Xenopus tropicalis: one gene and its partners. The protein of the gene in region 2 binds, or shares a complex with, the protein of the main gene of each other region. Links are inferred from orthologs where the notes say so. Each region holds a gene or a part of one and is shown on either strand. Other genes may lie near its edges.

Region 1 (3,934 bases), on a different chromosome or scaffold from region 2:
CTGGACTAAGACAGCTGGTACATTTCTTGAGGGGTGCCTAATAACCTGGTATCCCCTAGTGATTCTACCTTTCCTTCTTCTTTATAATTATCCAGTTCAAGTTTTCATTAAAAATGGCCTAAAATAATCTCATTGGGCTAATTTAATAAAAAGGTGAAAAGGATGATAATGATCTAATAACCTATTTCAATTTTTATTGGTTTGTGAAAACAAACATCTGGTTGCTATGAGAAACTAGACCTGGGCAAACATTGCTTCTGGGCAAACTTAATGCCTTTTAATACATATGGGGGATAGTTGCTTGAGTCTACAGGCAGTGATAAGTTCAGTGGCTTCCTAATACAGTGTAAATCAAAACAGCAGGAACCAGATCTATGTAAAAACAGCTCTTCCTTCTCTCAGCTCGATTCTATCAGTTGAACCCAAGCGGTTAAGTTTACTCTCATGTTGTGTATTTATACACATCTATATAGTTTTGTGTATCTATGACCTCACATTAGAAATTTTCTTTATATGCATTACTGGTGCTAAGTAGTATGCAATGCGTACACAGTACCTACTTTGTTTGTCAGCTTTTGCTCCCATATAGTATGGAAGGCATTTCATAGTTTTTCGCATTTCTTGTTTTAATGCAAGTATATAATCTTGATCCTCCCCTATTTTCAGAGGTACAGGTTTGAATTCTGTAGACTAAGAAAAAAAATATCAGACAAAAATTATTTGGTTTAACTCTTACCTTGCCTGTTGAGGCCTGCATGAATTTGTTTCCTCCAGTTAATAAAAACACTAGTGATGTAATAAAAACTCAGGTCTGGTATAAAGCGTCATGATGGTGGATGTTATCCAGAAAGCTCTGAATTACAGGAAGGCCATCCCATAGACTCCCATAGACTCAATTTTATTGATAAAATAACATTTCTTTTAAATTATTTCCTTTTTCTCTGTAATAATAAAAGAGTACCCTGTAATTGATCCTAATTAAGATAGAATGAATCCTTATTGGAGTCAAAACAATTCCACTTCATTTATTAATCTTTAAATGACTTTTTAGAATATATAAGGTATGGTATGCAAATTACAAAAAGATCCCTTATCCAGAAAACCCCAGGTGCGGAGCATTCTGGATAACAGATCCTACACCTGTACTACAGTTACCCCTGTGGAATGCCTGTGCTGCCAGCAGATTGGAACTGGTTGTAATTAAGTGAGCTCTCCAGCTTCCAGCTTAGTGTGAGCCCTCCAAACAGTATGGCATCTCTGTCGCTAGCCTGTTTTCCAGCCACTTGGGCTTTCATAGCCTGTGTAATTGTTGTGGTAATTACAGCTTTTTGGAGGTTTTACATCCTCTTGTCATAACTGTTCATTTTACAAATTTCATTTAGGCGCATATTAATCATGTAAATTAAAAGCAAGACAAAAACGTTTTCTGCCTTTCGCTCTAAATAAAGGTTCAAGGTATATTCAAGAGAAGCATTTAGGTAATTTTGTGTTAAAAGCCACACAAGTTTGAAAAATATGTGAGGAGAGTGGTATAGTCATTCCAAGTGCCCAAGATACACAATTTTGTTAAGTGGTTGCTAGATTGCTAGATTTGGAGCTACTGCCATAGACCATGTCCACTCTGTATTACTGAAATAAAAGGGCAGTGGAAGGAAACCATTTAAAAAAGCATTTCCCTGCAAGCTATACTCTTTCTATTGTATACAAAGATTACTTACTGGAAAGATTGGCAGTGGTGTTAGCTGAGTCTCTGGCAAAGATTCACCTCTTGAAAATCCAATTGCTTGGATGTCAAATGTAAAGGCAGCCCTTCCCCTCCCTTTGGCAGCCATTACTAATGCATGGGAAGAGAAACAAAATGAAAAACTAGAAAGGGAAGTTTGAGAACAAACTTCATGTTGGGTTGAAAAACGTGTCACTGACGGTTTTCACTGAATGAAATCTGATCTGTTGTTGGCTGCGCCTACTTTTTCTAACCTTGGACCACAGTCACATAGTAAAAACCACTGTGCAAAGTTTGGGGACCCTGGTTGTAATAGTGACTGAAAGTCAACAAGTGACATCTGATTGGTGGCTCCACCCACTTTTTCTAACCTGGAACTGCAGTTACCCAGTGACTAACTCTGCAATGTTTAGGGACCCTAGAATTAATAGTCAAAGAATGGCAGCAGTTTAAATTTAAACCAATAAAAGTCAATAGGTAAATTGTGATTGGTAGTTGATGGGTGTGCCAACTTTTTCTAACCTTGAGTTGAAGTCACCCAGTGACAAACAGTGGGCACCCTGGCATAAACAGTGTGAGAATGACAGCATTTTAAATTTAAACCAATAAAATTCAATGGATGAAATCTGATTGGATGACATTTAATGGGTGGAAATCGATTGGCTGTTGGTGGCTCTGCTTTGCAAAGTTTGGGTATTAATATTAAAACATATGAAGTCTATAGGTGAAATCTGATTGGCTGTTGTTGGCCCCGCCCACTGTTCTAAACTTGAACATAGTCACCCAGTGACAAACTATGTAAAGTTTGGGGACCCTGACATCAAAACAATAAAATTCAATAGGTGAAATATGATTGGCTGTTGGTGGCTCCACCCACTTTTTCAAAATTAACTGCAGTCCCCTAGTGACCAACTGTGAAAAGTTTGGGGACCCTGGGGATAATACTGTGAGAATGGCAGCAGTTAATATTTCCCCACTGAAAACAATGAAAGAAATGTGATTGGCTTTTGGCAGCCCCGCCCACTTTTTCTAACCTTGAGTACGTAGTCACCCAGTGACTGACTGTGCAAAGTTTGGGCACTCTGGCATCAAACCAATAACTCTGGGGACCCCGGTGTGTTGAATTTCCTCCAAGTCAACAGGTAAAATCTGATTGGCTGTTCACAGCTCCACCCACTTTTGGGCATCCAACAATCATAATATTTTTATTCAGGCTGACCCCATGACGGTGTGATTCATGTTTGGAGAGTGTAGCTTCAAAGCTGTAAGATTGGCAGCAGTTTCAATTTCCCCATAAAAGTCAATGAATGAAATTTGATTGGCTGTTGTTGGCCCCTCCCACTTTGAGGTCATCCAACAAATGTCACTGTTTCATTCGGGGGTGACACCATTATTATGTTATTCAAGTTTGGGGGATGCAGCTTCAAAGCTGTAAGAGTGGCAGCAATTTGAAAATCTTCCCTGTTAAAGTCAATGGGAAAATTGGGGTGTTCGGAGCGGCGCCACAAAAAGACGGGGGGCAGGATCAACCTGCTCTGCTATAGGGCGAAGAAGTGTGGAGAGATGGGTGTTGTACCCCTAAAACTGTAGGAGGAGTAGCATTTAGAAAATGGGGGGCGCTAAGAATAAGAAGATGACAAAGCTGAAGTCAAAGAACAGTAGGTTGAGCCGTACCATTGTATTGGAAAGGGGATCAGTCCGTACCATTTTGTTTGAGGGGGGGTCAGACCGTACTATTTTCTGGAGTTGGGGTTGGACCGTACCATTTTTTGGAGGGGGGGGTCGGACCATACCATTTTTTGGAGGGGGAGGGGTCGGACCGTACCATGTTATTGGGGGGGGTCGGACAGTACCATTTTTTGGAGGGGGTGTCAGGCCGTACCATTTTATTTGAGGGGGGGGGATCGGACCGTATCATTTTTTGGAGGGGAGGGTCGGATCGTACCATTTTTTTGGAGGGGAGGGTCGGACCGTACCATTTTTGGAGGGGGGGTCGGACCGTACCATTTTTTGGAGGGCGGGGGGGTCCGACCCCCCAAAATAAAATGGTACGGTCCGACCCCCCTCTAAAAAATTGTACATCCATCCCCCCCACTCGAAAAAAATGGTACGGTCCATCCCCCTCCCCGCTCTTAAAAATGGTAGGGTCCAACCCCCCCAAAATAAAATGGTACGGTCCGACTTCCCCCCGCTCCTAAAAATGGTACGGTC
Region 2 (3,321 bases):
AAGCAGGTCTTGTATAATGGGCACCAAATACAATCATTGGTTGCTATGGGTTGCTACAACTGGGCACACTTTGGGCCTTATGTTGCATTACCTTCGACCCTTCAGGAAGTAGCGGCAATGTACTACACTGATGCAACAGCAATAAAATGGTCGCTTCCAGTGACAGGCAGCATGGGTTAGAATGACCTAGTAGCTAAGGCTGATCTAAGGCCATCTTGCTTGTGTTTACTTCTTCATAATGGGCTTTTCCAGACCAGCAGTGAGATAGTCCGGACCATGCTGAGAATGAGCGAGGTCACCACTTCATCCAGTGCGGCATACACTCAGCCGCTGTCATCCAATGAGGTCAGTATGAGCCCTCCATTCAAAGATATTCACTGTACTACATGGTTAGGGGGCCACAGTATAATCACTTTTGAATCAACTATTAATATTATGAAAGTAATATTCTGAGACCATTTTCAATTGTTATTGTTCGTGGTTTTTAAATTATTTCGCTTTTTGTTCAGCAGCTATCTGGTTGCTAGGGTCCAAGTTAACCTAGCAACCAAGCAGTGAATTGAATTAGAGACTAGAATATGAATAGAAGAGGGTTGGAATAATGCAAGATGACTATAGTAATAAAATTGCAGCCTCACAGAGAACTTGGTGTCTAGGGCAACCTGGCTGAGGTGTCTAGTGCAGCCTGGCCGAGTTCCCTAGGGTGCCTGGCCGAGTTCCCTGGGGTGCCTGGCCGAGGTGTCTAGGGTGCCTGGCCGAGGTGTCTAGGGTGCCTGGCCGAGGTGTCTAGGGTGCCTGGCCGAGGTGTCTAGGGTGCCGGCTTGGCCCACCTCTGGGAGAGGCTGCTGACAACATAAATGATTAATTCAAAGGTGCAAGAGGTTATTATGCTCAGCTCCGCTTTTACTTTGCTTTTTTTCTGTTTAAGATCTTCAGGTCGCTCCCTACAGGCTACAATATCTCCAAACAAGTTCTGGATCAGTATCTGACCCTGCTAGCGGATGATCCGGTAAGTGACGCAGAGTGTCTGATGCTTACAAAGGGTTAAGATTAAAGGGAAACTATACCCCCAAACAATGTAAGTCTCTGTATATTAGTATGGGCAAAGTTACAGTTAGAGCTGCATCACTTCCTGTCAGCTGATCTCTTAGGGAGCACACAGCCCGTCACTAAATGGCGGCTCAAGGGGAAGGGTGTAAAAGGGCAAAATTTGCTGATATATATATTCCAGTTTGGCACTTGCAGGGCTTGGTTACACTCATGTATCCGTAGGTTGGGAGGGAAGCTTTTTTCCTTTGCACATATCCTGTTATGTACAAGATGAGTCTAATATCAGTGCTGTGCTTCCCTTTATCTCCCCCCCCCTCCCCACAGCTGGAGTATGTTGGACGGTCTGGTGACAGCGGCGGGGGGATGTTTGTCATCAGTATCCTTTATATGTCCGATCCCTTATTGGTTTGGGACTCTCTTCCCTCCCGCCCCTCTCTCTGTAAGATTCACCCTCCTCTTGTGCAGTTGGTCACTTAACCAGGACTTACAGATCTGCACAAAGCGGTCGCTTCCTTGGCCACAGCGACGCTGGAATCGCTCGTACAGGAGAGGCAAGAGAAGGGGCAGCGGTTTTGGGGGTGGGGCAAAATGGGGCAGGTGGGGCAAAATGGAGTCCTGCAGCAGGTCGGGTACCTGTGGGTTACAGTAGCTGGAAAGCGGGTACCCTACGGGATGTGGGTATAGATGGGGGTCAGGTTTCAGGTCTTATCCAATTTTTCTTATTATATTATCTATATTAGCTATATTTTACTCCTTTAAATTAGGGACGCACCAAATCCAGTTTTTTGGGTTCAGCCGAACCCACAAATCAATTGTATGGGATTCGTCCGAATACGGAACCGAATCTAAATCCTAATTGGCCGAATACCGAACCGAATCTAAATCCTAATTGGCCGAATACTGAACTGAATCTAAATCCTAATTAGCTGAATACCGAACCGAATCTAAATCCTAATTAGCCGAATACCGAACCGAATCTAAATCCTAATTAGCTGAATACCGAACCGAATCTAAATCCTAATTAGCTGAATACCGAACCGAATCTAAATCCTAATTAGCCGAATACCGAACCGAATCTAAATCCTAATTAGCTGAATACCGAACCGAATCTAAATCCTAATTAGCCGAATACCGAACCGAATCTAAATCCTAATTAGCTGAATACCGAACCGAATCTAAATCCTAATTAGCCGAATACCGAACCGAATCTAAATCCTAATTAGCTGAATACCGAACCGAATCTAAATCCTAATTAGCCGAATACCGAACCGAATCTAAATCCTAATTAGCCGAATACCGAACCGAATCTAAATCCTAATTAGCTGAATACCGAACCGAATCTAAATCCTAATTAGCCGAATACCGAACCGAATCTAAATCCTAATTAGCTGAATACCGAACCGAATCTAAATCCTAATTAGCCGAATACCGAACCGAATCCAAATCCTAATTAGGCAAATACCGAACCGAATCTAAATCCTAATTAGCTGAATACCGAACCGAATCTAAATCCTAATTAGCCGAATACCGAACCGAATCTAAATCCTAATTAGGCAAATACCGAACCGAATCTAAATCCTAATTAGCTGAATACCGAACCGAATCTAAATCCTAATTAGCTGATGCTAATGCTATGCTAATGGTTCTGCGCAGGACTCTACCCTAGGCGGCAGCTGGAAGCTACGTAGGAAGTATACGGATAATGGTAGGATACTTGTGATTTTCTGCCCTGCATCCTTGCATCAGATAGGGTCTTGCAGAGGTGCTGAGAGTTTTAGTTGCACAAGACCTGGAGGTGACTTATGCCTGACCCCCCCCCCCTTACTCTGTGCAGGTTCGGCTCGCGCTGCGCCAGAATTTTCCGCCTCCTCCTTCGCAAGAGGCACCTGGAGCAGAAGCAAGTGGAAGATTTTGCTATGGTTCCAGCCAAAGAGGCCAAGGAAATGCTGTACAAAATGCTCTCTCAGAATCTGGTGTCCCTGCAGGTCAGTACTGACTGTCAGCTAGCGCTGCCCCCCCCCCCCCCCAGTGTTTGTCGGAGTGGCCCAGCAGGAGACAGCCCAGGGATCTTATACGTGTTCTTTTATATGCAGGAGATTCCAAAGACACCAGATCATGCCCCTTCTAGAACATTCTACCTGTACACCGTCAACACCCTTCCCTGTGCTCGGATGTTACTTCAGAGATGTTACAAGGTACGAAAGACAAGGGGCTGTTCCTGCTGAATTGTGCTTAGTACAGGGGAATCCCTATGTGCCATAGTTTTATGGT
Region 3 (3,450 bases), on a different chromosome or scaffold from region 2:
ATGACTTTGCCCAGCTTAAGCTGAACCTTGCCAGACTTGCGTACAAATAGCTTCCCAATATGGCCTTCTGACACATCCCGCAAGGTACAGCTGTCTTCTGCAGCCTTCGAGTCCTACAAGTAATTGAGAGGCAAGATTTAGAACTACTACCCGCTAACACCAGTGCATAAAAAAAGAATGTTTTGTTAACTGGAGTCCCCAGTGCAGACCTGAAAGTTTAGTGTTTGAACTGATGGAAGCAGAGGTGTGTCACTACAAGTTAAACATAAAGTACCTGTGCTGTGGAATATCGTGGTGCTATATAATGCATAATAATAGCCGAGATCAGGGGCGGGCCGAGCCGACCGGGCGCCCTAGGCAACCCGGTCGGCCACCTCGTCCCTGCACCTGTGCAGTAGCTTTATGTACCTGTCCTTTGTCCTTGACCAGTAACATATGGCCATCCTCACTCTGCACTTCAGTCTTTGTAGGCCTTGTCTCTAAACTTGGAGGCTGTCCAGGCAGAGTGTCAGGAAGTTGCACAAAAAAGAGACATTCTTCATCAGAAACCCTCAAAGATTCCAGCATCTCTGGGAAGGACACATCCTTGGTTACAGGGGGTTTCTTAACAATGGGAACTTTTGCAGAGGGCACCCCAGGCTTCCATGCACCAGCATCCTCCATTGGTTCTTCCTTTACTAGCAAGGGGAAGAGAAAGCATGTAGTGTAATGTGCATGTTGGCCCTTTAAAAGGCATATCAGCTTATTCAGATTGGTACTTTGAGCACTATACAATTAACATTAAACTTCTGTTTTTAATGGTTTTTTAGACTGCTAATACCAGGCTTTAAATTTAGCAACTATCTTTGAAGGTCAGAGTGTCAGCACTCCTGTCTGTGCACTTCCTATACATACATAAGCCTAGGGTTGCAGACTCTCAGTTAAGCCAAAAGCCTGGTATAAGTAGTTGGAAAATGCAAACATCTAAGAAACTGCTAAGATAAAAAATAACTATAAATTGCAAAAGTGCTCAGAGAAAAAGTAGTGCTAGAACCAGTATGATCTTCAATTTGTCATGAATTAATTTTAAGGTTTAATGAAAGTTTAATTTTCTCAGTAAATGTAGTCCAGTTCCATTACGGATGCTAGGTTTTTTGCTCTACATTGAGAACTTCTGCCATGGTATCTGGAGAGCTCTTTGTAAAGGAAAAGTGCAAAGACAGTTGTGTCTACAAAGGACATTACCTTTAACCTGAGAAGTATCATCTACTTCCATCTTTTCCTCTTTAAGTTGTCCTTGAATGGGCTTTATATCCTCCTCTTCATCCACTTGCCTAAAGAGCCAGCCAGAATGGGCAAGTGGGATCTGCACTGGATGGTTCTGAGAATCATTCCTGAGGCCAGGGTCATCAAGAAACTAAGAGGGAAAAAAAGACAAAAATTCTTATTCTCACTAACTTCTATGTACAACACATTTAACTACTATTTAAAAAAGTACTGTACTTTGTCTTTCATTTAAATTCTCCAGAGTAAACCATTTACCTTGTCATTTTCCAGCATGCGGAGGATCTCCTTCGTCTCCTCTTCAGTTTCTCGCTTCTCTCGTTTTATGTTAATGATGTGTGATGGGCCAAAGTCAGCAGATTCTGAAGGTCCATCCCATCCAACTATAATTTAAAGGGAGGGTACAGTCAGAACAGATGTAGATTGTACTTTTTGACACAGTTGCAAATTATGTGAAGAAGTCACTTTAGTTTAAAACAAGAAGATGAACCAAAAAGCAAACGCACCCCCAAAAAAAATATATTCAGCCATTTAGCCATTCTTGCTTGTTTCTTACATACAGGTAAGCCCAAGGGTAATAGGTCATAGCCTTAAATAATACACACACAGCAATGAGCTGTAAGGATTGTAAAGACAAATTCAATGCTCCACATTGCTGTTTCCTAAGTGTATTTATCTAGGGATGCACAGAACCCCAGATTTGGTTTGGAATCTGAACGTAATTACAGCCTTTTTTAATTTGAAATATCCGTCATGTATGGCTGAACCAAAACCAAGCCCATTATATCATATGACTGGACAATACTATTATACATCTGCTGTAAGTTTGGGGTGGGGCGAGGATTTTAACCATTAGAATATATAAAATAGGGTTTGCATTTTATTCAGGAATCTCTTGTAGTGGATTTGGTATTTGGCCAAATCTTAAAATTGTGGGTGTGGTGCATTCCTGTATGAGTCATCTGACCTGAAACACTAATGCTTTAAATGAGAATTGAAATGTAACCATTACCCCTTGCATCCCTCTGAGCTATAATCTGTGGCATTGCCACCCAGTGCTGGACACCCTGTAAGAGATCTTCAGTGGCGCCACACTCATAGGCAGTCTCCAACCCACTCCCCCCCAGCGCAATGCTGCCCTCAGCAGGGCAAGCGGTAGCAGGTGGCAACGTTTCTAGTGGCTGGGGAGGGGACCTATCATGCAGCATACAATTTATGCCTCTGGCTATAATGCATTAGGGTATCCCGTGTCTTCTAAATTGCACTATGTGCTGCTATGTGTTAAATACATTGCCATATATAAGGCAAAAATCTGCCTCACTTGAGTCGCAAACTGTCTTGTTAATTACTGTGACTGGTTCAGCTTTGTACCAAAAATGTTACATTCTGCTTTATGCCAATTATCTGGAGCTCCCAGTAAAAACCAGTTCCTTCCCATGCTTTACCTTTCTTCTTGAGCTGTTCAGCTGGTCCCTGCTCAAAGATGGAGTGACTCTGTATGACTTGTGGCTTCCCACGCCCTCTTCCTGCTCCATCTCGACGGTCCCTTCCACGCTCTGCACGTTCTACCTTAACAGACACTTCCTCCTTGGGCCTGGAAACAACACAAGGAATTGTGAAAAGAAAGTGGGGGAGACCAGAAAGAGAATGGACAGAATAGAAGCATGGGGATAAGACTACAGATAGATATAGAATAAAGCAAACGTAAAACTGTTATAAGTGAAGCATCACAAGAAAGTCAGAAAATAAAGGTGTAAAAATAGATACAGTAAAAAAAAAAAAAGAAGATAAATAGATGGGTACAACAAAGCAGGAAAGTTCCCTTTAGGTGCCATTTTCCTTACTCTTCTTTTATCTTTCTACTGATGATGTTGGGAGCAAATGTTTTCTGTAAGAGAAGAGATAGTGCAGGTCTTTAAGACATGTCAAAACTCTTATATTATTAGACATACAGAAAAAAAACGATAAAATGTATGTCCTTACAGCCTTCCCATACACTGATTAAATAACATGAAGTAGGATTTATACAAAATATCAGTGCAATTTGTATTGACCTACAATACAAGGGAGTCCGTTCTTGAAGATGAACTGATAGAGATGTTTGGCAAGAACACTAAAGGCTCATTTACAAAGCCCCCTTGCAGTGTGCAAAAAAAAAAAGGTCTGCAATCGCCCATTTTTTGCACT

What was found. Proteins that work in one complex are often made in the same cells at the same time.
Region 1: polr3c (region 2) and polr3g share a complex: the UniProt entries of both Homo sapiens proteins name them as parts of the RNA polymerase III complex. The link is inferred for Xenopus tropicalis from reciprocal best matches to the Homo sapiens genes POLR3C and POLR3G.
Region 3: polr3c (region 2) and polr3d share a complex: the UniProt entries of both Homo sapiens proteins name them as parts of the RNA polymerase III complex. The link is inferred for Xenopus tropicalis from reciprocal best matches to the Homo sapiens genes POLR3C and POLR3D.

The regions. Positions count from the first base shown.
Region 1 is NC_030677.2:178,947,000-178,950,933, forward strand, and holds part of polr3g (DNA-directed RNA polymerase III subunit RPC7), read right to left. Parts: intron 1,835-3,934; 5' UTR 1,833-1,834; coding exon 1,719-1,832; intron 691-1,718; coding exon 561-690; intron 1-560. UniProt on the Homo sapiens protein: DNA-dependent RNA polymerase catalyzes the transcription of DNA into RNA using the four ribonucleoside triphosphates as substrates.
Region 2 is NC_030684.2:141,782,958-141,786,278, forward strand, and holds part of polr3c (DNA-directed RNA polymerase III subunit RPC3), read left to right. Parts: intron 1-252; coding exon 253-345; intron 346-928; coding exon 929-1,009; intron 1,010-1,374; coding exon 1,375-1,426; intron 1,427-1,540; coding exon 1,541-1,601; intron 1,602-2,884; coding exon 2,885-3,035; intron 3,036-3,143; coding exon 3,144-3,245; intron 3,246-3,321. UniProt on the Homo sapiens protein: DNA-dependent RNA polymerase catalyzes the transcription of DNA into RNA using the four ribonucleoside triphosphates as substrates.
Region 3 is NC_030679.2:129,694,110-129,697,559, reverse strand, and holds part of polr3d (DNA-directed RNA polymerase III subunit RPC4), read right to left. Parts: intron 3,152-3,450; coding exon 3,108-3,151; intron 2,858-3,107; coding exon 2,709-2,857; intron 1,647-2,708; coding exon 1,522-1,646; intron 1,397-1,521; coding exon 1,225-1,396; intron 678-1,224; coding exon 409-677; intron 114-408; coding exon 1-113. UniProt on the Homo sapiens protein: DNA-dependent RNA polymerase catalyzes the transcription of DNA into RNA using the four ribonucleoside triphosphates as substrates.